7 linked regions of the Mus musculus genome follow. The protein of the gene in region 5 interacts with the protein of the main gene of each other region in a biochemical or structural test. Links are inferred from orthologs where the notes say so. Each region holds a gene or a part of one and is shown on either strand. Other genes may lie near its edges. The genes, in order: Hdac1, Nr4a1, Npm1, H2ac21, Ep300, Foxo1 and Eid1.

Region 1 (3,500 bases), on a different chromosome or scaffold from region 5:
TCAGGAGGCCGTGACAATGAGCCAGAAAACCCTCAATTCTCTTGACCCCTTACATCCTAACAGTCCTCTTCCAGAATAAAGAATGAGGTCGTGTAGGTGCCCAAACAATAATGTGGTACTCTCAATGGCAGAGAGGCAAGAAGTAGATTCTAATGACACAGGATAGGAGAGTTAGAGCTGAAGGTGAGTTGGTTGGTCCCTAAAGGGAGTTCTCACCCGTAGGTCCCCAGTTCCTGGGAAGTACTCTCCGTATTTATGAAAGGACACAGTCATGACCCGGTCTGTAGTATAGAAGGCCTCTTCCACGCCATCGCCATGGTGAATATCAATGTCAATATAGAGCACCCTCTGGTGGTACCTAGGATCAGAAGGTGATAAGGGCCCTGGGGGCTCTTTGGGGATGGGACGCGCCAAGGGCGCCAGGTCCCAGCTTACCGGGCTAGCTGCCTCCCTCAGGTATCTCTAAGCACCAGAGACGTAGAAACTGGCTGAAGGAAGGTGGAAGAGTGGCCGGGGTGTCTCCAGAGGCCTGACCAAGCCGACCATGTCCGATCTTCCTACTCTACAGCCAGGGTCAACTCCAGTCACACAAGGACACTCTGGAGGCAGGATCTTAGCAGCGCCTGCCCCAGATCTTGCCGTGGGCTCAGATCAAACCAAGACCCCGAAAAGGAGAGGATGGCCAGAGACACTCATGGAACACATCCTAGCCAGCAGGCCACAAGAAAAGCAAACTAGGGAAGCAAGCCCAGGGGTAGAGGGAAGTGGGACCTGGCCTAAGGTGCTCTTCCAAGACACAAGGCCAGGCAGGCATACTTTAGCAGTTCCAGGATGGCCAGGACGATGTCATTGACGTAACAGAAGCCAGAAGCTTCAGACTTCTTTGCATGGTGCAGGCCCCCGGCCCAGTTCACAGCGATGTCCGTCTGCTGCTTATTAAGCTTCACAGCACTTGCTGAGCAAGGAAAGAGCACAAGCCTGTTACTAAGCCGTTCCCCTTGCCCTGCCAACTCAATGGGAGGTACTTTATTCATTTTACAGTGTTTTAAGGGGGTGTTTTTGGTATTGTTGAGGCAGGGTTTGTTGTGTATGCTATTGGTGGTGGCACACACCCTTAATCCCAACACTAAGGAAGCAGAGGCAGGCAGACGTCTTGAGCTTGTAGCTAGCCTGGTTTACTAAGTTAGTTCCAGGTAAATCAGGGCTACAGAGTGACCTCATTGTAAAACGAAACAAAACCCCCAACTAAAACAGAAATGTTGCTGCACCCCTGTATACTGTGTCTACAGTTGTCTGACTATTCTGTCTGCACAGATATATATGCACGTCTGCATGTGCACCATAAGTACCTAGTGCCCAGAGGGCACTGGAGCCCTTAGAACTAGAGTTAACTCTAAGTTGTTAGCTGCCATATGGGGGCTGGAAACCAAACCCTTGAGCAAGGGCAGTAATTATTCATAATAAGCAGTAAGTGCCTCTGCCCCTGCATTTTTTCTGGCGTTTGATTTAATCTCACATTCTATTCATCCAGGTGCTGAGAAACAACAGGCTATACTACATGTCAAGTACAGATGTGCAGGAGGCTATACCATGTACTACATGCACACCACATGTACAGATGTGCAGGAGGCTATACCATGTACTACATGTACACCACATGTACAGATGTGCAGGAGGCTATACCATCTACCTTTGTCCAAACTGTATACGAACACATTTCTCAGAATGTGTCTCCAGCCTTAACCCATGAGTGGCTGCATTTGGTAGGATTTGGGGCCGTTCTAAGGTATCTCAGAGTTACAGTCAAATGACCTGGGAGGAATATTTATGACTTCAGAAGTTAATGACCTGACTCTTTCATAAGACACAGACGTTGATCTTCCATTTTTAAAGGTCTTTGCCGTTCACAAACTGCCCCTTAAAGCCTACAGGATATTTCCACATCTAAGCTCTTGGGGCAGGAGAGGAGAATTAAAAACAGCTGTCAGTACTGTGTTTAAGGTTGAAAGTCAAACCCCACAGAATCACTCGTAATGAAGGCAGACAGATCTCCCAGCAACTGTCCAGCACAGCCCAAGAAGCAGATTTAGTCTCCTTACCGACAGAGCCTCCCGTGGACAACTGACAGAACTCAAACAAGCCATCAAACACCGGACAGTCCTCACCAACATTGACTTGAAAGAAATAAGGCAAAGGTTAGCTTCCACAGTTTCCTTCAGTTTTCTTTTCTTTTTCTTTTTTTTAAAGATTTATTTATTTATTATATGTAAGTACATTGTAGCTGTCTTCAGACACTCCAGAAGAGGGAGTCAGATCTTGTTACGGATGGTTGTGAGACACCATGTGGTTGCTGGGATTTGAACTCTGGACCTTCGGAAGAGCAGTCGGGTGCTCTTACCCACTGAGCCATCTCACCAGCCCTTCCTTCAGTTTTCTATTTAGATTTTTACAACAGTGAGAAGGAAAACAACAGTTTAGATTCAGAAAGCTTGGGTTCTAGCCCAGGCTAACTTCCTGGAGATTTATGCTATTAATGATAATAAGCAACAGTGAAATTCATTTCAACCAGCCAGTGAAAAAATTAACAGACCCTCCCCCGGAATTTTGAAGACATGGCCTCACCGTGCTCCTCAAGCTGGTCTTGAACTCCTGGCTTAACCTTTCCTTAAGCCTTGGCCTTCTGAGTAGCTAGGACTATGCATACAACATTAAAAATCTTACAGGAAAGTGTTTAGCAATTTGGCAAATGCTGGCGAAGGAAACCTGTATGCTCCTCACGTGGTGAGTGTTACAGCAGGCTGTCACTTCTAACCACTTGAAATACCTGATACACGTATCCTCGCACAGTCTTCTGAGGTGGACTGCCTTCCGAACTTAGAAATGAAGAAACTGACTCAGAAAGGCCAAGTGAGCAGAGACCTATAGAATTACTTGCTGAGTACTGGAAGAGTTCATATGCTGCTGAGTGCTTTAAACACCTGATCCATTTATCCCCACATAATCTTCTGAGGTAGAATTTGGCCCAGTCCTATAAATGGGGAAATGAGCTCAGAGAAGTGAACGAACTGCTAACACAGAGGCACAATTCAAGCCTCCTGATTTGCTGCTGCCTGTCCTGAGACAATGTATCCTGCTCCTTCCACAGTGCTTTATGCACATAGACTCTCATTTAGTACTCACAGCTCCAAGACCTGGACAAGACAGGACCAGCGTGCACTGGAACGAGGACATGCAAAGAAGTAAGTGACTTGCCGAAGGCTGTATGACCATAAGTATCAGAATCAGAATAGGACCTAGGTATCCTGACTACTACAGGCCAGTGCTTTGACTACACCCAAGTGATAACTCGAGTTATTTTAGGCCCATGAGGTAAAAGTACCAAGCAGGGCATGAGGTGGAAACACATACAAACACTAATGCAAATGAAACCACACAGACAGGAAGCAGCCCCAGGCTCTCACAAAAACCTAAGGAAAGTGGCTGCTGAGGCCAGGGGCGAG
Region 2 (4,242 bases), about 20 Mb from region 5:
CCAGGCACACCCTAGGCTCTGTATACCCCTTCCCCACCTCCCCCATACGTCTGCAGAGACTGACATCCTGGAAATGGGGTAGAGGCTGCCAGCCAAGGTACAACTGTCTATCACGGTAGCCTCGGGAGAAAGCAGCCCCACACCTCACCACCACCACCCCCCGCATGCTGATCCCACAGGCACCCACTCTGTACTTTCTGACATGTTTCCAGGAGTTGGGGGGAACTAGGCCACCTCACCATCCCCAGCTCCACAATGGGTTGGGTAGCATTGCTATAGAGTTTTAAATACCGTATACTGGGGGGGGGGGGGGGGGTGGAGAAGTTGCTCAGTGGTTAAGAGCATGCACTGCTCTTCCACAGGAACTAAATCCAGTTCCCAGCAACTACATCAGGTGGCTCACAACCATCTGTAACTCTAGCTCCAGGACATCTGATGTCTCTAGCCTTGTAGGACACCCATGCTCATGTGCACACACAGAGACACATATAAATACAATTAAAAACAATTGAAAACGCAAAAAAAAGTAAAACCTTAAATACCATATATTGAAGGGAGGCGAGGAACTGAGCAGGAAGATCCAGAGAGCAGTCTCTGGACTGGAGAAAAGACAACTCTCAAAAGGAATTTCTCAGCTAACCCGGTCATTTATTTTCATTTTCCATGCCAATAGGTGTTTTGCCTGCATGTTTGTCCGTGTGAGGGTGTCAGATCCCCCCTGGAACAGGAGTTACAGACAGTTGCAAACTGCCACATGGGTGCTCTTAGCCCCTGAGCCATCTCTCCAGCCCCCTAACCTTGTCATTTTGTAAGAGAACACTCAGAACCCAGCAGCAGCCGCAAGCTAATTGGACAGAGTGGAGGATCCTACCAGCGGATGCACAGAGACAAGCTGTCCCTCTGCTAAAGCAGATGTCTGTTTGCTGCAGCATCCAGGGTCTCAGCAAAGGTCACAAACCTGAAGCACCTGAATGACCAGGGGTAGCTGGAGGAGGCCCTTACGTTCTCATCTGGTCAAAAAAGCCCACAGAGGAGGCTCCAGGACCTAGTGTCCCTTTCCACCTCCAACTCTGGGGTCTGTACAGTTCTAGACTTTCTAGTTGAAAAGACAGGTCACACAGGAACACTGAGGCAGAGGGTGCTGAGGCAGAGGGTGCTGAGGCAGAGGGTGCTGAGGCAGAGGGTGCTGAGGCAGAGGGTGCTGAGGCAGAGGGTGCTGGGGCAGAGGGTGCTGGGGCAGAGGGTGCTGAGGCAGAGGGTGCTGAGGCAGAGGGTGCTGAGGCAGAGGGTGCTGAGGCAGAGGGTGCTGAGGCAGAGGGTGCTGAGGCAGAGGGTGCTGGAGCAGAGGGTGGGGTGGAGAAAAAGACTATCACCACCTGCTGGCCCTTGAGACCCTCTAGTCCCAGTATTTCTCCCATTCCCCACACCACCCCTGGGTGCCTAGCCAGGACAGCTCCACCGCTGGCTAGGCATACGACTTCCCATAAAACAGCACCCCCCCCCCAACCAGTTCCCACCCCGCCTGCCCCGTGTCAAGTCCCTAGGGCATACAGCACCTGGGAGAAAGAAAGAAATATGGCCACTTCTGCCTCTGTTTGCAAGAAGCCTGGGAAGGGATGGGTTGGGGGTGGAGGAAGAAGGGTGGCAGCCAGTCAGGACTGGGCGTTTGTTCCAGCTCCATTCAAATCCTGTTTCTCCACTTGGACATCCTACATCCGGATCAACCCCCACCAATCTACCCAGCTTCAGGCCGATAGTCCGCAACACAAGATACAGATCTGCATCTAGCCTCCTGAGGGGGTGGGGGTGTCTCAAGGAGGAGGAAGAGGCGGGGTTGAAAGAGGGAGTGGGAGAATCCGGCTTGGGGCAGGTCCTGGCAACACCTGTTAGGTGACCAAGCCCGCAGGCTGCACCCTACCTAACAGACTCAAAAGACCACTGGGGTATACAAGTCTGTCTGATGACAGAAGGGGTCTCCCCCCTAGTCAGTACTACATCGAGACTCTATCGTGAGCAACTTCCACCCAGGCTCCACGTGCGGCTTTCAGTAGCTGCACCAGGCTACAGCTCCTAGGTTTCTAGATACTCTGACAACTTAGTCTAACACAACCATTACCCAGCCAACCTAGCTAGCCATTTCCTTCAGCAACCCCCAGGTCTTCCAGCACGGTTCAGAAAGAAAGTTCGGTAAGGGAATCAGAAAATCTAAGTACAGCCTATGAAGTATTAAGTAAACACTGGGAAAGGGGGCTGAGAGCCCGGGAAGGAGACCCGTGGAAATCCAATCTTACTTGTACTTGGATGGATCCCAGCAACGCCGAAGCTCTGAGTACCTTTTCCCAGTCCATGCTCAGACAACCCCCTACCCGGCAATCAACACCCAAACCCAGAGTACAGAGTGCCTCACACTGGAGATCCTAGCGGGGAAACCTCCTAAACAAGCGCCCACTACCTACCAAAACCAAGCACCTTGCAGACCCTTCGCCCGCTTCCTAAACTTCAAGCCCTGGCTCACCCTACTCCAAGAGCTATCCTTTAATACCAAAAATGCACCCTACACACCCCTCCTCGTAAGCCGACCCGAAAACACCCTTCCTTTTCGCCCGCGCGTACACCCCATCTCTTTCATGCACTGTCCCTAGAAACAGAAACACGCTCCCTGCGGGGTACCTACCCAGCCGGCTCCCACTCCCTGTGGCCGGGACCAGCGACCCAGTCGCAGCCTGGTCCCGCGTGCGCTCCGCTCCGCAGTCCTTCTAGCACACTCCCCCAACTTTCGCAGCCTCCTGCACTGGGGCTCCCCTGGCGAGCCCGACCCACATCTTAAGCGCTCCGTGACGCATGGAGAGGGGCGGGGGCGCCACTGACGCACACGGCCCGGCGAGCTTTGGCCATACAAGGGCGCGGGGGGCGGCGCGGTTCCGGCGGGAGGCGGCCAGGAGGAGGCGCGGGGACGGGGAGCCCGAGGGGGCGGGGCGAAGAGGGGGGGCCTGGAATGTCTGCGCGCGTGACGCACGCGGGGTTCCATTGACGCAGGGAGCGCGGATTGTTTGATCTATAAATAGTTTTCCTCTCGCCCGCTGCGCCGGCTAAATATAGTAGCTTCCAGACCCACTAGGCTCACCAAGCCGGACCCGGGATCGGGTCCCGGGGTCCGAAATAACCGACCAGGAGGAGGGGGTGTTGTAAATCCGTGCCCGCAGGGCTTCCCCAGAACAGGATCTCCTCCCCTCCAGCTGCTCCTGGTGCCAACAGCTCCCTCTCCCTCCTGCCCACCCCTACCCCAGGCCCTGCTCCGCTTTTGTCCCTTTCCCAGTCTGTCCTGGACACCTAGGGTATCACTCTCTGCCATTCTGAGCAGCCAGGGCAGTTCAGGGCTGAGGCAAGCCATTCTGGGACACACCCAGAAGATAGGAGGTGGGCTGGGCCCGTGCCTCAGCCTTGGCAATGTGCAGGGTCTCTAGCCCCAGGACTGAGGACAGGCACTCTGGCCTTCAAGGTTCCTTCCCAAAGGGCATAGCTTTGCCAGGCTGGGTCAACGGGCTCGGCTCCACACCGATGCTGGTTTCTCAGCGATGGCCTCTTAACCCCTCGCAGGATGGATGCACCCTAGTTGAGAAATTGCCGAATTTCAGAACCGGGTGGAGCCTGAGAAATCTTTCCAAACTCTTGCCAACTCTTCCCCATTTTATAAATAGATTCAGAGACATAATGGTACTTGTTCAAGGTCACTAAGCTAGGTAGTAGCACAATGGGGTCTTGAACCCAGGGCCATCGAACTCCATCTCCTTTTCACACTCTTCTGTCAATTCCCTGGTCCCAGTCCCTGATGGGGACCCACCTGCCTCCCCACTACCTGCTCCAGCAGTGAAGAGAGCAGCTGTAACCAGTTACTGCTTGCAGGGAAGGGTCTGGCCAGGGCTGTACTCAAAGTGCAGACCAGGCTGCAGCCACCTGGAGCTGTCACCCTGCAGGTCACATCTCCATCCCAGTCTAAGCTAAAGGAAACCTCATTTGTAGTCAGGTAAGAGAAAGGAAGGGGTATGGAGAAAAGATTCAGTGGTTAGCTTTCCCTACTAGGGATTCTCTTTGCAGTATCTCTATCCCATCCTTGACCCCACCCCCTGGTTCCCGATTTCTGCTGCCAGCCCACCAGTGCAGCAGACTAACCGAGACTATCCAATGACGGCCTATTCTGGCCATAACCGGTTTTTAAAAATGGGCTAAGGGCGTAGCTCAGTG
Region 3 (3,500 bases), on a different chromosome or scaffold from region 5:
TCTGCCTCCCGAGCACTGGGGTTAAAGGTGTGTGCCAGGAAAGAGTTTTAAAAAGTATTTCTGGCTGGGGGTGGTCTACAAAGTGAGTTCCAGGACACCCAGGGCTACACAGAGAAACATTGGTATCGAAAAAAAAAAACAAAATTTCTGGCATTTACTTTGGCTAATCACCAAAATTTCTCTTGCTAATGGATGCATATTATTCTTTCAGAAAAAAGTAAAACTTGATGAAGATGATGAGGACGATGATGAGGACGATGAGGATGATGAGGAGTAAGTATAAGTACTATGATCTCAAAAACTTGATCTTACAGGTACTTGTAAGGGTTTAGGAGGATTGACTTGCCAGTGGTTGATGTTTGAAAGTAAAAGATTTTGACCTATGATTCCATGTTTGCCTTACAAACAAGCTATTTATTGTATGTGGGACATTGATGGGGGGGTTGAATTAATTTATTTTTTTGAGACAGGGTTTCTCTGTGTAGCCCTGGCTGTCCTGGAACTCACTCTGTAGTTCAGGCTGGCCTGGAACTCGGAAATCTGCCTGCCTCTGCCTCCCAAGTGTGTGCGCCACTGTGCCCGGCTGGGACATTGATTTTTCTTGGGAGTTATTGTTAGGAGTAAGATTTTATGTGTTCAATATAAGTAACAGCTAGATGGGAAGTATGGAATTCGTTAAAAATATTTTTATTACATATTTTCCTCAATTACATTTCCAATGCTATCCCAAAAGTCCCCCATACCCTCCCCCCGAAGTATGGAATTATTATTTGTAGTCTTATATTTGTTACCTTCCTGTCTTATAGAAGTTCTGGAATTGGTCAAGTATATTCTGAGCTAAGATAACTGTTCAAAGCAAACTTGGGAACTAGTCTTCATTATATTGATTACTGTATTCATAGTGGGGACATAGTAAGGGACAAATAATAGTCTTGAGGTTATCAGGGTTAGTAGTTCTTCTGGTGTGATAATGGTTCATCATACAGAGATGATGCCCACGAGAATAAAATGATAGCTGAAGATTATTTACTATTTAAGTTGGAGAGTTTAATCACATTGCCAGAAAGTTCTGGATCAAAGAATGCAAAGAGGCTTTAAACACATACTCTGTATACAAGCCTATGGATTAAAGTCCTGGATCAGATAATTCAAATTGTTTGATTTCAAGATTGACTTTATATATTTCATTGTATATAGTTTAACAATGTTTGGGGAGTAGCCAGGCAGTGGTGTCGCATGCACTTGGGAGGCAGAGGCAGGTTGATTTCTGTGTTCGAGGCCAGCCTGGTCTACAGTGAGTTCCAGGACAGCCAGGGCTACACAGAGAAACCCTGTCGAAAAACCAAAAAAAATTGGGGAGTAGAACAGATGAGTGGGTTATATTGCAAATAATGACATTTATGCAGAGATTTTTTTGACTATTTTGCCATTTAAGAGCTTAGAAGATAACCCTGAGGAATGTTGTTAGAACTAAGTATTGAATGCTGCTGTACTAAAGGACAGATATATGTGGTCTCATAAGATGGTATTGCCTTTTGGTTTTATTAGACATTTTTATTTACATTTCAAATATCCCCTTTTCTAGTTTCCCCTCTGAAAACCCCCTATCCCCCTCTCCATGCTCACCAACACCCATTCCTGCTTCCTGGCCCTGGCATTCCTCTATACTGGGGCATAAAACCACCAGCATCAAGGGCCTTTTTAATCTTAAGGATAAAATCATTGGAATAGTGTTTTGGTGGTATGACTGATACTACTACATGGTTTAGGATAGAAGAAAAGAGTAGTTTTATAGAAATTAGTATTGTTTCTGGTACCAAGCATCTACATGGATTGGGTGTAAGGTAAGGTCATTTTTATACTAACCTGTAGTGTTAAATTACCAAAACCACTGGATTTACATGTAGCAGATCCTAACAAGAGAGAATCTCCCCACTGAAAAGGTAATTTACATGAAGTTCAAACTTTTGACTTTAACACTAGTGTGGAAAATGTAGTCACTGTTGGTGATTTTGCTTACAGACTTTGTATGAGCAATTGGACATTATATACTTAGGTATAGACATGGAGATGTTTCAGTGGCCATACTGAATGTGATTTGCCCCCTTCTAAAAAATCACAGTATGCCTGAAGAACATTTTGTATTCCTCTTAAAGCAAGTGCCATGTGACTTTATATCATAATCTCAGCTCTAAATTGGAAGTGAGAAGCAGCACCCTTTTTTGAGCTAGGACGTTACACTAAGTATTTGGAGGTGGACTGTTGTTAATTTCAATCTGGCAGCTTAATTCCAGTGCCACATATATATGTCTTTAGGAGGAGCCAATAAAGTTAGCCTTGTCAAACACTGCACATAACACATTGGAATGAAGTGTAAGCAGAAGCATCTTTACAGTAAGACAGGTAGAATCAACAAATGTAGTAAAATTTTTACTATAGAATTTTTGATCAATCTTTGGCTACATTTAAATTATTTGAGTATTTTGCAACATTTCATCACCACCATTTCGGTCTGGCTTTGATTTTTGACAGAATTGATCCCTATAGTTTTTAAGGGCTGAAAAGTCATGTGCATGTGTCATTGACTGTAGGTATTTGGGGTTGCTGTCACCACCTTGTGGGAGTTCTTCCTAAATTTACCTCTTGAAGAGTAATGTGTGAAGCAGTATCTTTGTTTGGTTTATTCCCTAGGTGACTAACAGTCTTACATGTTTACTGACCATATGTTTGGGGAGAAATGGTCTGTTCAAATTTCTTGCATAAGTAATTAGTATCTTTGCTCTAGTTACTGGGATATGTAAAAGTTAATCCCTACACTGCAGAGGAGAGGACACTAAAGGCATATATGTACTAACACCTGGCTAAATGTTAACTCTAAAAAGCCTAGTTTCTTTATGGTTTGGTACAAAGCTGATTTGGTTGAAGCTATTTATTTACTAATAACATTGCAAAATTAATCAACTACACAACCCTTTGAAACAATACTCTCAAGTATTATATAAAAATGTTTGTTAGGTTTCTTAAGTATTGATCCATTCAAATACTGGTGCAAATTCACTTTTATTAACAATTGTGCTACAGTGGATGAATATGGTTTAGTTCTTTTGTAAAATTGACTAAAAATTTAAGTTCTGTGTGTTGGCTTATTTCATTTATAGTGATGATGATGATGATTTTGATGAAGAGGAAACTGAAGAAAAGGTCCCAGTGAAGAAAGTGAGTACATGAGATACTATGAGGTTTATCATGGGTAGCTAGTAAAAGGATGGGAATTTCTTAGTGCTAGTAGTAAAAACTGGCTGAATTGATCTTAAAAATTGGTTCTGAGCTAAACAGGAAAATTTGAGAACGCTATCTGTATGTGAGTTACAATTTATTAGTTTGTTTTAGGACAGTTTAATCTGAGTTGATCTCTACTCTGGAGAGGGCATATGGATTAAGGCCATTTTCTACTTGCAGTCTGTACGAGATACCCCAGCCAAAAATGCACAAAAATCAAA
Region 4 (2,247 bases), on a different chromosome or scaffold from region 5:
ACTCTAAGTTATGTCTGGCCGTGGCAAACAGGGAGGCAAGGCCCGCGCCAAGGCCAAGTCGCGGTCTTCCCGGGCCGGGCTACAGTTCCCGGTGGGGCGTGTGCACCGGCTGCTGCGCAAGGGCAACTACGCGGAGCGCGTGGGCGCCGGCGCGCCGGTATACATGGCGGCGGTGCTGGAGTACCTAACGGCCGAGATCCTGGAGCTGGCGGGCAACGCGGCCCGCGACAACAAGAAGACGCGCATCATCCCGCGCCATCTGCAGCTGGCCATCCGCAACGACGAGGAGCTCAACAAGCTGCTGGGCAAAGTGACGATCGCACAGGGCGGCGTCCTGCCCAACATCCAGGCCGTGCTGCTGCCCAAGAAGACCGAGAGCCACAAGGCTAAGAGCAAGTGAAACTCAACACGAATCCAAAAAGGCTCTTTTTAGAGCCACCAAATCTTTTACAAAGGAGCTAGCTAACGCGCCAGTTTGTGACCAGCCCTTTGGATGACACTTTGGTGGCTCTTAAAAGAGCCTTTTTGTGTGGAAAGGGATAATAGTTATTTGTTCTTTCCAGGCTTATGACTTTCCGTTTTCTTCGGAAGTAAGACAGCCTGAATATTGGGGAGGACCCCGCCCTGGGCGATGGTGACTCCCCCTAGTAACTTGTTGAGCTCCTCATCGTTCCTCACAGCTAGTTGCAGATGGCGCGGGATGATGCGCGTCTTCTTGTTGTCGCGGGCCGCGTTGCCCGCCAGCTCCAGGATCTCGGCCGTTAGGTACTCCAGCACCGCCGCCATGTACACCGGCGCGCCGGCGCCCACGCGCTCCGCGTAGTTGCCCTTGCGCAGCAGCCGGTGCACACGCCCCACCGGGAACTGCAGCCCGGCGCGGGACGACCGCGACTTCGCCTTGGCGCGGGCCTTGCCTCCTTGTTTGCCACGGCCAGACATGGCGGAATAAGCAATTTCTGCTGCTTTTTCCAAGGGAAGGATATGGAAAGGTGAATTTATAAGATCTATCGGGAGGGGTGAAGGAAAAGTAGCTTGATTGGCTTAAAATGGAGCTGTCTCCAACAGCCAATGGGAAAGCAGAAGCTAGACTCGGTGGTTTACATCCTGCAGTACAGGAAATGACGAATTTTTTGAAAAAGGAATTTACCAATCGATGAGAGCCACATTTAAAGGCCCTCACTTACATCGTAGGATTTTAAGGGCAGAAGAATTTCGCGGAGCTGTTTATTGTGGTAATTTATAGAGGTTTGTTTTGTTTGCCCAGTTTAGAGCTGAAAAATCTAAACAAACAACCAAGAGCACAAAACTCGAAACACTCCCCTTGAAGTATGGGATTTTGCTCTGTCCCCACCCCCACCCCGGAGCTTTAAATTACTCTCCATGTCTCACACAAGCAGGCTCCGTAAAGGAATTAGGAAAGTTGCTTCGCTTCCTTACCCTTGACAGTGGCTCCCCATCTTTGCCCCTGGGTCGTTTGACCAAGGGCTAGATGACATTGTATCCATCGTCTTTGACCTCTAGGAGGTGTCTGCCACCACCTTTTCCCTCTAGCTTTTAAGATGTCCTCGTTTGATCTGGGGTTTTCTTTACCCTGCTCCGGTTCTCTCCCCACTAAAAAATCCGCGAGTTCAGCTGAACTGTCCTATCCCCAGCTCTTCCCTCTGGCGAGGCTTACAAGCTTCCAGCTAATTCAGATTCGCTTCACAAGCTCAGACTCCGGTATCAGGCGTTTACTAAATGTTTAACTCGTTTGTCTCAACAAGCATCATATTAGCATCTGAAACATGAGCTCTGCATTCCTTTGCCCTATCCCAAGAATTGCACCCAAAAACTTTCAGGTACCAAGATAAGACGGTGGGGGGTGAACGGTGAGGGAGCCTGTTAAGGGAACTGTATCTAATTCTAGAAGTTACAGTTACATTCTAAACTATTCTTAAGTTTGCAGGGTATTTTGTTAGCATTAGACAGCCATTCTGCTATGCAAGTTCTAACAACATTAACTTTTGAGGCATTTGGGGCTGAGAACAAAACCCAGATAACAGGAAAATCTCGTACACATATCCCTGGCACCTTGTGAGGTTCTGCTTAAAGAGTCAGTGAACCCCCTCGCCTTGACCTCTGGTTTTCTTCTCAGTGATCTGAGTTGTGAAGAAGGCTAACGGGACAGAGATCGCTCAACCCAAGTGTGATTCACCCTGTGCTATAGGCCATCTACAAAGTGGATGTAATTTTCTGTTTTGTGGGTAA
Region 5 (4,218 bases):
AACTTAAAGGACTAGCAATGTGACTTTGAGATATGAACTGCTGCTTTCGAGAAGGCTATGAAGAGGATGGAATGTGTGTCTACGATGAAACACAGGTGTTTGGCGGATTTAATGGGGTTCCAAAGATCAACCTGAGAGGGCAAACCCCGGGAGCTCTGACCGTGGTTTTCCTTGTTTTCGCAGAGGAGCGCCTGAGCTTTGACTCGGTTCTGCTCAGAGACCCAGCCCAGGCACCTAACTGTCCACCGACCGAAAATACGTTCTAAGTTCACCCCGGACCCCCCCCCCCCCCACAACTTCTTTCAAAACCTCCCCTTTAAAGGGAGCCACCGAGTGACGCCGGGGGAGTTTGCGGAAGCGCCTACCGCGTTGGGGCCCTTGGGCGGATCCCGTGATTGGAGCCGGCACCGCCCCCGGCGCCGCTTCCCCCATTGTGTGAGCTGCAAGGCAGAGGCCCCGCCCTCGCCCCGCCTCCCTGTTTCTCGGCCCCTCCCCCTCTCACCTCCCCCCCCCCCCAATCTTGGCTCATTTCCGGCCGCCGCCGCCGCTACCGCTATCCTGTAAGGAGGATTCGGCAGAGGCAAGAAACAACAGCCGCCATCTTGTTTGTGTGCTAGCCTGTGGGGGGGGTGGGGGGAGGAGGAGAGAGAGCGGAGAGGGACCGGGAGAGAGAGAGTGGGGCAAGCGGGACGCCCGGCTGAGTGCGAACTGCGCGAGCAGGGAGTGAGGAGGGTACCTGGCTGGAGAGCAGCGGCCGGGACCGAGACAGTGGTTGGGGGCCCCGGGGCGCAAAGGCTGAGGCGACCCTCAGTCCCCTCCTTGCCCGCACACACCCCCACCGCAGCCCGGGCCGGCGTCGACGCCTAAGGGGGGGAAACCATTACATAAGCCCGCGCCCCGCGGCGCCTCTGCCCGCCGTCCGAGGCGGCCCCCGAGCCGAGCCCCCGGCAGGCACCTGGCTGCCGGGGGGGTGAGGGCCAGGGAGGCGGCCGGACTGATTTCTCCTCCCCGGGCTTGCGAGTGGAGGCGGAGAAGCGCGGCGCGCGGAGAGGCCGCGTCGGTGGGCTCGGCGTCAGCGCGGGCTTGCGGGCGGACGGCCCTGCTTGGCCCGGCCCGGCCCCCCTGGCCCTTCGGGCCGGCGAGCTCCACGCTCGGCGTCGTCGCTGCTGCGCCTCTGCTTGTCCGCTGCGCGATGTGAGGCGGCCCCGGCGCCAGTCTGGCTCTCGGCTCGGCTGAGCTCAGTGTGGCCATTAGGGGCCGGTGCGGCAGCGGCGGCGCGGAGCGCAGCGGCAGGAGGAGGAGGAGGGCGGCTCTCAGGGTGGGGGCGCAGGCCCGGGAGGGGGCACCGGGAGGAGGTGAGTGTCTCTGGTCGCCTCCTCCTCTCCCCCTTTTTCGCCCCCGCCTCCTTGTGGCGATGAGAAGGAGGAGGACAGCGCCGAGGAGGAAGAAGCTGATGGCGGCGGCGGAGCTCCGAGAGACCTCGGCTGGGCAGGGGCTCGCCGTGGCGGGCTGGGGACTGCGTCTGTAGAGCTGTGAGTTCCCGAGAATTCGCTGCAGCGGACGTGCTCGTGGGATCAGTGTTGCTGTACCCTCCTCCCGGCCTGGTTTAGGCCCGGCCCCTCGCACTTGCCCCTACCATTTCTGTTGAGTCCGCATCCCTCTCCGGCCACCGCAACCAGGCGAAGAGAAAAAGGAACTTCCCCCCACCCCTGTTGGGTGGCGGCGGAGCTCCGGAGCCCACCCTTAGGAGCGGGGCGGGGACCCCGTTTCGGAGAAGAGATTTCCTCAGGATTCTCGTTTTTTTCCTCGGTTGTATCTCCGAAAGAATTAAAAATGGCCGAGAATGTGGTGGAACCCGGGCCGCCTTCAGCCAAGCGGCCTAAACTCTCATCTCCGGCCCTCTCGGCGTCCGCCAGCGATGGCACAGGTTAGTCTCGGGACTCCCGGCCTTCCATAGTTCCCTTCGTCTTTTCTGCTCGTTGCACCTTCATTCCAGGGTGCTTCTGTGTATCTCTTCCCATTTCCCCGGCCGGTGTTTAATTTTAAAGGTTTTTGAATGGACTGGTCGAAGACGTCCAGTAGCCCAACCATTTTCTTTGCCTTCTGATACATTCATTGCAACACTATGTCATGTCAGATCGTTGTGTGTTCTGGAATTAAGAGGTTGGAAGTGGGAGCTGCGGGGACCTTTATTGTTGGCTCCATGCAATTTAATTTGGGAAATGCCGGTACAATCGTGTGTGAGGGCTTTTATGCACTTTTACTATTTTTGTTACTGGTGAATGAGGGATTTCAGCTCTTTCTCCCCTGTTGCAATGAATTCTTTTTTTCTCTGCTTTCCCACCTTTAATGATTTTTGCTCCTGTGAGGCAGATTTTCTGTTGAGGAATGGGGGCGGAAGACAAATCTTGGTGTCTGCGATCCAAGGTTTTAAGTGTAACTAAAGTTCAACAAAATTTCATTCTTAGGTCCCCTCTCCCCATCCTTGCCTCAAGAGTCAGTATGGACCGCAGTTTATTTTATATCCATTTGCCATGAAACCAAAATGTCTCAAACTGCGTGTTGAGGTGTAGACCTGAGGCGTTTCCTTTGCAGTTTGTCACACTCTTACTTAGAAGGGAAAGAAAAAAGATGAAGCCTTTCTGGAATTAGGTACTTAGAAATGGGAGATAATAAGTTGAAAGACTCCCAGTCATGAACTTCCAACTAAAGTGATTGTACAAGTTTAAAAATGAACAGGAGGTTTTGTGCTTGCATGTTTGTTTTGTTTTGCTTTTTGGACCTTTGCAATTCCAGTTTACAAGATGAAGGAATTCTTTTCTCCAGTCAGCCCCTTTGTTAGGAGACCTGAAGGGAGACTCTCCCTTGTCTGTTCTTTTTCCTGCTTACTGTTAGTTTAGTGTTATTCTGATGATCACTGACCTGGTCCTCTCTTGCTGTCTGACTTGTTTGAGAGGCCAGGATAATGAAGAAGAAGAAGAAGAAAAAGAAGAAGAAGAAGAAGAATGGCTAGTCATCTGACAGTCCACTAGATGTTCCTCCTTACTGCAAGCATCCCTTTAACTCAGAGAAGAGGCTCCAGATCTCTCCTTCTGCCAATGAGAGTGTATAGTGGAGTTAAACGTACCCTGCAAGTTGTAGAGAATGTGTGGGCCATGTTTCTGAGTAGGATTTCTATTAAGGCCTGGAAATAAGATAGAACTAGTGCATTACTCTGCTTTTTTAGCAGCTGTATTTCGAACCATGAGTTTTGCTCACCTGCAACAGTTGGGAAGGATAAGTCTTGCAGTGTTCTAAGGCTCTAACTTTAGTTATATGTGAGCATTCAGCTGTAAAGTTTCCGTAGTCTTAGAGAATTTTTTTTAAATTATGTCTTTGAAATTCATAGGCATAGATATTTTATAGACATATTTGCTCTGGATTTTTGTTTCCTCCTCTGCCCCCATAATAAGTGTACTTCTGTAACATGTTCACAAGTTACCATATTTGACATAGCCAGTAACAAGAAATATTATGGAAAACTTTTTAAAATTAAATTTTTGGATGTTCTGATTTTGAGTGACTTAGTCATAAAGTCTGTTCATGTAATTCTGTTCAGATGGACTACTGCATTCTTTATCTGATAAATTGTATAGCTTTTGGCTAACTTTCATGGTTAAAAAAGGGAAAACTTGCTTTGGGTATCTTTGAATGTCATTACTGGAGTCTTTGGGTGGTAGTGGTGGGGCTGGGGTTTTCTTTGTGTGGGTCTAGATGTCCTGGAATTCACATCACCAGCCTCTACCTCCCAAGTGCTGGATTTAAAGGCAGGTGCCACCAGGACCACCAACTTCTAGAGTCTTAAAAAATTTCAATACTGAGATTGGTTTATTCTTAGTAGTAAGGATTATAGTAATATTAGTAATTTTTCTTCTCTTAACATTGTAGTGACGGTTAAATTTTTTTTCTTTTAAAATTTATATACCATTAGGTCGGTTTTATTTTGTTTTGAGACAGGGTTTTTGTAGCTCTGACTATCCTAGAACTCTCCATGTTGATAAGACTGCCCTTAAGCTCACAGAGCCACCTGCTTCTGCCTCCTGTTTGCTGGGGTTAAAGGCCTGTGTCTCAAGGACCTGCTTGTTTCTTTTCCTTTTTTTTTTTTTTTTTTTTTTTTAATTTGATACAGGGTATCACTACATAGCCCTGACTGGCCTACAATCTAGAGAGAAATGATTG
Region 6 (3,500 bases), on a different chromosome or scaffold from region 5:
GGACAGAGCCACAAAGCCACCTCCATCGTGACAAAAGCCAACAGCTCAGAGTAGTAGGAGGCGAACCCCAGTCAGACAAAGAACATCACCTTAGATAAAAGTTCCCCTTTCCTGAGCGACAGACAGAGTTCCCATGGGAACTATGACAGCGTGACACAGGGCATCATCTGGCAGGCTTCCCTAGAAGGCTGTAAGCACGTGGCATCTATCTGAAGACTTGGTGCTATGCGCTGTACACAACTCACAGGGTAATAAAAGCAGGTGAAATTTCTTTAAAATACACACATAAATCTACACACAAAACAGAGTGTCTGTAACTATACATAACTTTCCTGCCCAAAGGGCCAGGAACGTTGAGTGTGCAAGTACTAATTACAATGGTTTACGATTAGTCAGAAACATTATCAGGTATCATCGCAAAGTGTACAAACCAGCTGAGCACATATAAAATTAGTACTAATCCAGTTAGAAATACAAAATGAAAATTATGAATGCAGCCCCCAAATACCTCTGATTTCACAAATTTATAAGCAGACAATGTAACAAAGTAGACTCTAGTTTTAAGAAAACATTACACTTCGGTATCTATTCCAAAAGATGTTGAGTCCTAACAATAACATCAAAAGTCATTTATCTGGAAATTAGAACCATTTTAAGTTGTTTGTACAAATTTGCAAATAACAAAATAAACAACAACAAAAACAATAGAAAAAGACCTGTACAAAGCTGGCACTTAATCTTATTCTGCCCCAAAGTTTGACAAGTCCATTAATTCAGCACATTGATCACTGGCTACTTGGCTCTCATGGGTTCTGTGGCAAATGACCAGGTTCAGTCATTCAGCCGAGGTGCAGGACAGAGATCTTAGTTCATGACTTCTCACTGTAGCAGAACACAGGTAGTACAAAGCAAAGTTTATCAAGACTTGAGACCATCACAGTATTACAAAAGAGTATAAACTTTCCTTGGACCAAGTAGGTATTAAAAAACACACACACAAATACAATTCTGTATCTACTGCATATATACAAAACTTGAAAGCACTCCAGGATCTGAAAGTCTTTTCTGCAATTACATGGTGTAGTGAGTTTGGCACTTCATTGTAATGATTCCCAATGGCACAGTCCTTATCTACAGGAGCACAAAACCTGCGGACGCTGGGCAAACATCCTGCACAGGAAAGTGCTGCCGCTGTTGCCAAGTCTGAGGAAAGGAGAAAGGACTTTTTTTTTTTTTTTTTTTTTTTTTAAATCTTGAAAACTATAAGGAGGGGTGAAGGGCATCTTTGGACTGCTCCTCAGTTCCTGCTGTCAGACAATCTGAAGGACTTTTAAATGTAGCCTAAAGGGGAAAAACACACACAATAAAAATATAGTCATTTTCAACTCAATTGTACTTAATCAAGTTGGGGGTAGGGGAAGCTCCAGCCTTCTCAAACAGCTACAAAATTATTCAATGGGTACATTTTTTTTCTTTATTGAGAAAAAATGGGAGGAAAAGAAAAGACCTTTGGCATCTGATTTGATTCCAATGTGTCCATTTATTTTAGAGCTGGCAGAAAGCACAACCCATCCTACAGTGAAAAGAAAGTCTTAAAAGCTGCTAAAGCAATCTGCACTCTATTTTAACCCCAAAAGGCAAACTGATAAACGGAGGGAGGGAGGGAGGGGAGGACAATAACAGGTAAGCACCTGCAACCAGATGGCATTAGAAGAAAGCCTAATGCAACCCTGGGCATAGCTCTGTCAGTGTTGCCCTGGGTTAGACCCCAGCACCAAGTAAGCCAGGCCTGGTAGGGATGAGTTACATAAGACCCTGTCTTTAATTACGTTTTTATTTTTATTTTTTTTATTTTTATTTTTTTAATGTCTAACCATGGAAGGAAGACACATGGTACTGTGTCCCTTTTTCAAAAGGCCTCTTGATACTGCAGTGAATAAACTTACCTGCTCACTAACTCTTAGCCTGACACCCAGCTGTGTGTTGTAGTCTTGACACTGTGTGGGAAGCTTTGGTTGGGCAACACATTATCAAAGTTAAAATCCAAGGTATCTCCATCCATGAGGTCATTCCGAATGATGGACTCCATGTCACAGTCCAAGCGCTCAATAAACATGCCATCCAAGTCACTTGGGAGCTTCTCCTGGTGGAGGACACCCATCCTACCATAGCCATTGCAGCTGCTCACCGAGGAGTAGCTGCCCAGGGCACTCATCTGCATGGGGTGGGACAGAGGCACTTGTAAAGGTGTCTTCACGGGGGTCAAGCGGTTCATGGCAGATGTGTGAGGCATGGTGTTCACCACATGGGGCAGGGTACGGCCGTTGACCGAAGCCGTTTGCTGTGCATGTCCAGGGTGGGTGTGGGAGCTGGGGTTCATCATTTTGTTATGAGATGCCTGGCTGCCATACGCTGGCATGACCGAATTAGGGCCCATCATTACATTTTGGCCCAGGACCCGACTGTTGGGTTGGGCCACTCCGGGATCAACCGGTGACATAATGTCATTGTGGGGAGGAGAGTCAGAAGTCAACAACTCTTTCAAGAGTCCTGGGGCACAGTTATACTGGTTCAATCCTCCGTAACTTGATTTGCTGTCCTGAAGTGTCTGCATAGGCATCTGGGGCAAAGGGCTCATGCTGGATTGGCCGTATGTGTACTTTGAGTAGTTTGGACTGGGTGAATTTAGACTGGTGTTTGGCGGTGCAAACGAATAGCATGGTGTCTGCTGCATCATGCTGCCAGGCGAGGACTGGGTGGACACAGTTAAAGATGTTGGGGACGAGAGAAGGTTGAGATTATCCAGAAGGTTCTCCATGTTTTCTGGATTGCTGATTTCAGACAGACTGGGCAGCGTAGACGCCATCTTGGCAGCAGAGGGTGGATACACCAGGGAATGCACGTCCCCATCTCCCAGGTCATCCTGCTCTGTCATGATGGGAGAAAGTCTCCCACTGATGGTACTAGCATTTGAGCTGGTTCGAGGACGAAATGTACTCCAGTTATCAAAGTCATCGTTGCTGTGGGACCCAGGACTCGCAGGCCACTTAGAAAACTGAGACCCAGGGCTGTCTCCAGGACCCTCTTGCCCAGACTGGAGAGATGCTTTTTTCTTAGCAGCCCGCCCTCGGCTCTTAGCAAATTTACTGTTGTTGTCCATGGACGCAGCTCTTCTCCGGGGTGATTTTCCGCTCTTGCCTCCCTCTGGATTGAGCATCCACCAAGAACTCTTTCCAGTTCCTTCATTCTGCACTCGAATAAACTTGCTGTGAAGGGACAGATTGTGGCGAATTGAATTCTGCAAAGCAAAACAGTATGTTAGAAGTGCAGCACTCCCCCCTTGGAAAACTTACTGCTCAATGGGGATCAGAGATATACAGTGCCCATTCTGAGCAGCCTAACAGCTCGTAATTTGTGTGGAGGTCAGAAGACAGCTTTTGGAGTCTCTTTTCACCTTCCACCTTTACTTGGGTTCTGAGAATAAAACTTGTGCAGCAAAA
Region 7 (4,203 bases), on a different chromosome or scaffold from region 5:
CAGCTGGAGCTACATAGTGAGACCCTATCGCCACAAAACTAAAGATAAATACAAGAGGGTCCAGTGAGTAAAAGAGTTTACTACCACGCCTGATGACCTGTGTCTGATCCCTAGGCCCCACCCAAATGCTGGGAGAGAAGCAACTCCTGAAGGTTATTTTTTGCCCTTTGCTTACTGTGGCATGAATCTCCCAGATAGATAGATAGATAGATAGATAGATAGATAGATAGATAGATAGATAGATAGATAGATAAATGCAGAATAAAGGATACAAAGAAATACCAATGCATGGCTTCTCCTCTTAACTTCCACGATATACTTTGGTCCCCAAACACAAATACACTCAAATTTATGGATATTTGTATTATATTTCTGTGGAGATGTGAACAAAAGTCTATTTACAGCAGGTAAATACCAATAACAGATCAATAAATGATTCCCTCAAGTCCAACTAGTGAGGCAATTTATTGGGTGAGTAAAAAAGAGGGCTGAGGGGTTACCCATGGAAGTGTTTGTAGCGGCTCTATCTAAATGTCCTACCCTAACATGGGTGACAGCTTCCCAAACACGAGTCCCCACCTAACATCAGCCAACCTCCCACCTTTTGTGTTTTAGCACCTTCTGAAACCACATGTAACCGGGGCAAAATTATGTACAGGTGCTTTGGAGGTACAGGAGCAACTAAAATCCCAGGTGAGGGTCTAAAATTACTAACAGGCCTGCCCAATCTTGGGGGAGGTCTCTCTCCCTCCCTCCACCACATGGACCCCAGAGATCAAACTCAGGCCATCAGGCTTGGCTATATGGCAGAAGGTACCTTTACCCACTGAACCACCTCGGCAGCCTCTCAAACAAGATGACTGTAAAACCAACCAACCAACCCCACAGAAACCCAGGAGTTATCCTACTGTCTCAGCTCTGTTCTGTATTGGTTGCCATGGTGGCATCAGCAGGGACATCGTGCTAATACATCATTTTCTTCTCAAGGAACTTCAGCATCAATTAAGCCATAGCATCACATTCACAGAGCGGGTCTTCCAGAAAACTCTGAAATTTGCTTTAACATCCCAGAACCCATTTTTTGGATATTTGATACTGGTTTACATTGTAAGCATTGGATGTTTAAATATCAAGATGGAGGCGTGGCACACACAGCAAGAGAATCCTGTATAAAGCATGTATGCAAAGCTATTAGACAAAGCAAAATACACAGAACAAGAAAATTTATTATCGCCAATGCTGGTGCATAAAGATTAACAAGCATAATTAGAAGAAGGGAGGGGGAGGGGAAGAAAGAGGCAGAGAGGGAGAGAGAGAATATGAATATCAGACACCCAGGTGGACTTCTGGGTAGGTTTAAAACCTTCAAAGTTTGACAACATAATAGCTCATACATCTTTTTATAGATACAGGCAGGATTTCTTTTTACTTGACAATTTTAGCAAACAGTTCTTACAATATGAACTTCAGTTATAGTCTTACCATCTGTCAAGGTACAAAACAGCAAGTGAAATTTCCCTAGTATAAAAGGGTATTAGAAAGTTTGTCTTTGGGCTTTCCCATACATTTTATTTAATGCATGAACTTAAAACCTTAAAAAGACATCCTGTTTCTTTCTTTACTTTGAAAATCATTACAATGGGTTTTTCCAAATTAGAGGTCACAGTAGCTTTATAAATCATGAAGATACATGTGCAGTCAAAATTCCAGAAGCGTTTGTAACACATTTTAAGATGACAGCACACATGATAACACGTCTACATTTATACCCACATTTACTTGGACTACTCTGTGGGGTAGATGAATACTCAATCTTAAACCTCAAGTTTAGCTTTTGATAACTGATGTGTATAAATCACCAAAAAGAATTTGGAAAGTTTTTTTTTTTTTCAATAGCCTTTCAGTTCGAATTAAAGACATCTTGGAATGTATTTCCCCCCATTCTTTAATTAGATTCTTGTATTGGTAGTCACAATTTACTCTTCCAAACCATCTTTAAAAGCTTAACAGAGAAAGCTCTTCTCCAATGTAAGGAAAATCATCTCGATCAACAGTCTGAACCAGAGGTTTTTGCTGAGCCCCTGTGAGACCAAAGAGGAACGATTTGGTCTTTTTCTCCTCGCGATTCTCAGGTTTAACACTCCTCCTTCCTCGATTCTCCTTTTCCACAATGCATGGTCATTCACTGTCCCGTCTTCTATTCCGAGAAACAAAAACCAACTGTTTTTATTTTTTGCACAGAACTATTTGGAATGAACCCCAAAATAGCAGAATGTTGAATCTCTCCCTCTCAGGTAGTTTCCTCCTCTCTCGTCAGCATTTACTCTCGATCAATGATCTCATCACAACCGAGCTCTTCGGTCAGTCGATTGACAACCATCAGCGAAAACAGCTCTTCGATAAAAGCTAGCTGGTCGAAAGGGCTCTTCTCACACCGCGCCTGAAAGCCGCCATCCAGGGCATCTCCGGCTCGCGCGGTTCGCAGGAACACCTTGTTGGCTTCCTCCAGGGCGGCGGACACCCTGTGCATCGCGCCGCTCCAGCGCTCCTCTTCAGGGAACTCGTAGTCGTCCTCCCAGTCATCAAACTCGTCGCCTTCCAGGTCCGCGCCAGCCTCGGGGAACAGACCGCGCTGGGCGCGGGCGGCGGCCGGCCCGGCCTCCTCCTCCATGGGGCCCTCCTCCGGGGCCGGCCCGCGGGCCCCGCGGCCTACCTCCATATAGCCCTCGCCGGGCAGCACGTCCATCTGCAACTCGTTGCTTTCTTCGTACAGCTCGCAAAGCTCTGCCATCTCCGCCATGGTGGAAGCGACTCGACCAAGGTGGAAAAAAAAAAGGAACCTTTTGCAGAGACGGGCGCGCGAACGGGCGTGGTGCGCGTGCGCAGGCAAGAGGGCGTGCGTGGAGCGCGAGCTGGGGGGGGGGGGCGCGTGCGCAGGCGAGTGGGCATGCGTGATGCGCGTGCGGAGCACGTTTCACGTGCGCAAACGGGTAGGCGGGCGTGGTGCGCGTGCCAGCATGGCGTGCGTGTGCTGGCGAGTAGGCCGCTTGGTCCACGGGGGGGGGGGGGGGCGTGGTGCGCGGGCGCGGGCGCGGGCGCGAGCTCTTCCCTTCCCACCCCTCACCCCCTATGTTTCCCGGACTCCCACCTCACCCTCACACCCACTCAGGACCCGCGATGCTTCCGCTGGTGACCCACCTGGAGACCAGCTCTAAGTTCCTTGCCAAGTGCTTGCTTTGCCTAGATGGAAAGCCCTGGCCTTCTGTCACAGATGCCATCTCTCCTCCACCTCCCTGCCTCCCCAGCGTTCCTGTGATCAGCATGTCCATTACCTCTCACCATTTCAAATCCCACTAGTCCCGTCCTGCGCACTGAGAAAATTTAACTTTTCGGTTTTTTTCTTCTGAATTTATTGAAGTTGACCTAACCAAAGATAAATTGTGTGTATGTCCACACGTATATACCATGGGGAAACTAAACCACATACATGTGTGAGTACTAGGATAAAGAAAGGTGGAAAATAGGCTATACATATTTTAAATATATACAGATAATCACGCGCCACGGTTGCTCTACAAACTTAAACTGTAGCCAATAGTGTTTGAGAATATCCACACCCTTACCACGTATTGTTTTATGGAATTAATATAAGTAAACTTAAGTTTTATCAATTTGATCTCTCTTTCGTGTGTATGCGTTTGTTTGCCTGTCTGTAATGTTTGTGTGCCACGTGTGTGCATTGTGCCTACAGAGGCCAAAAGAGGGCGTTGGAACTCCTAGAAACGAAGTCAGTTGTACACTGCCCTGTGATTACTGGGAGTCGAACCCTGGTCCTTAGTGTGAGCAGCCGATGCTGTTTACTGCTGAGCCATTTCTCCAGCCTTGATTGTATCTTTATAATCTTTCCATAGCTTTAGTTTATTATTCGTGGATGCAATGGCCCTGTCATGTCCAAGAGACAATGCTCCATAGCATTCCTCTTTATCTTATATAATTTTTGCCAATGGTCATTTTTTATATTCTTCAGCGAACTTTTCTCCAAAGTGTTACATGATCCTTACTAGTTTTACATACTTGAACATATTTGTATGAAATCTTCCTCTTTATCCATTAAATGAAGTTTCTCATGAGCTGTTATTGGAATATAATCTTTGCATGTTGATTTTTGTTCTTATTGAAATGTTAATAGAGAAAAGTGCACAG

The links.
Region 1: the proteins of Ep300 (region 5) and Hdac1 form a complex in vitro, tested with the Homo sapiens proteins (2 studies listed by BioGRID, with this or other methods). The link is inferred for Mus musculus from reciprocal best matches to the Homo sapiens genes EP300 and HDAC1.
Region 2: the proteins of Ep300 (region 5) and Nr4a1 form a complex in vitro, tested with the Homo sapiens proteins (2 studies listed by BioGRID, with this or other methods). The link is inferred for Mus musculus from reciprocal best matches to the Homo sapiens genes EP300 and NR4A1.
Region 3: the proteins of Ep300 (region 5) and Npm1 form a complex in vitro, tested with the Homo sapiens proteins (2 studies listed by BioGRID, with this or other methods). The link is inferred for Mus musculus from reciprocal best matches to the Homo sapiens genes EP300 and NPM1.
Region 4: of the proteins of Ep300 (region 5) and H2ac21, one has a biochemical effect on the other in vitro, tested with the Homo sapiens proteins (2 studies listed by BioGRID). The link is inferred for Mus musculus from reciprocal best matches to the Homo sapiens genes EP300 and H2AC21.
Region 6: of the proteins of Ep300 (region 5) and Foxo1, one has a biochemical effect on the other in vitro, tested with the Homo sapiens proteins (3 studies listed by BioGRID, with this or other methods). The link is inferred for Mus musculus from reciprocal best matches to the Homo sapiens genes EP300 and FOXO1.
Region 7: the proteins of Ep300 (region 5) and Eid1 form a complex in vitro, tested with the Homo sapiens proteins (3 studies listed by BioGRID). The link is inferred for Mus musculus from reciprocal best matches to the Homo sapiens genes EP300 and EID1.

What each region holds. Positions count from the first base shown.
Region 1 is NC_000070.6:129,522,147-129,525,646, forward strand, and holds part of Hdac1 (histone deacetylase 1), read right to left. Parts: intron 2,175-3,500; coding exon 2,100-2,174; intron 956-2,099; coding exon 817-955; intron 359-816; coding exon 217-358; intron 1-216. UniProt on the Homo sapiens protein: Histone deacetylase that catalyzes the deacetylation of lysine residues on the N-terminal part of the core histones (H2A, H2B, H3 and H4).
Region 2 is NC_000081.6:101,265,404-101,269,645, reverse strand, and holds the start of Nr4a1 (nuclear receptor subfamily 4 group A member 1), read right to left. Parts: upstream 2,801-4,242; 5' UTR 2,675-2,800; intron 1,636-2,674; exon of another isoform or gene 1,557-1,635; intron 714-1,556; exon of another isoform or gene 649-713; coding exon of another isoform or gene 543-648; intron 1-542. UniProt on the Homo sapiens protein: Orphan nuclear receptor. Binds the NGFI-B response element (NBRE) 5'-AAAGGTCA-3'. Binds 9-cis-retinoic acid outside of its ligand-binding (NR LBD) domain.
Region 3 is NC_000077.6:33,156,707-33,160,206, reverse strand, and holds part of Npm1 (nucleophosmin), read left to right. Parts: intron 1-211; coding exon 212-273; intron 274-3,158; coding exon 3,159-3,216; intron 3,217-3,459; coding exon 3,460-3,500. UniProt on the Homo sapiens protein: Involved in diverse cellular processes such as ribosome biogenesis, centrosome duplication, protein chaperoning, histone assembly, cell proliferation, and regulation of tumor suppressors p53/TP53 and ARF.
Region 4 is NC_000069.6:96,218,608-96,220,854, reverse strand, and holds H2ac21 (histone H2A type 2-B), read right to left. Parts: upstream 971-2,247; 5' UTR 940-970; coding exon 547-939; 3' UTR 501-546; downstream 1-500. Other genes in the region: H2ac20 (histone H2A type 2-C), read left to right, coding at 11-400. UniProt on the Homo sapiens protein: Core component of nucleosome. Nucleosomes wrap and compact DNA into chromatin, limiting DNA accessibility to the cellular machineries which require DNA as a template.
Region 5 is NC_000081.6:81,584,796-81,589,013, forward strand, and holds the start of Ep300 (histone acetyltransferase p300), read left to right. Parts: upstream 1-1,418; 5' UTR 1,419-1,833; coding exon 1,834-1,927; intron 1,928-4,218. UniProt on the Homo sapiens protein: Functions as a histone acetyltransferase and regulates transcription via chromatin remodeling. Acetylates all four core histones in nucleosomes. Histone acetylation gives an epigenetic tag for transcriptional activation.
Region 6 is NC_000069.6:52,344,837-52,348,336, reverse strand, and holds part of Foxo1 (forkhead box protein O1), read right to left. Parts: intron 3,299-3,500; coding exon 1,961-3,298; 3' UTR 1,947-1,960; intron 1,342-1,946; 3' UTR 1-1,341. UniProt on the Homo sapiens protein: Transcription factor that is the main target of insulin signaling and regulates metabolic homeostasis in response to oxidative stress.
Region 7 is NC_000068.7:125,671,789-125,675,991, reverse strand, and holds Eid1 (EP300-interacting inhibitor of differentiation 1), read right to left. Parts: upstream 2,801-4,203; coding exon 2,321-2,800; 3' UTR 349-2,320; downstream 1-348. UniProt on the Homo sapiens protein: Interacts with RB1 and EP300 and acts as a repressor of MYOD1 transactivation. Inhibits EP300 and CBP histone acetyltransferase activity.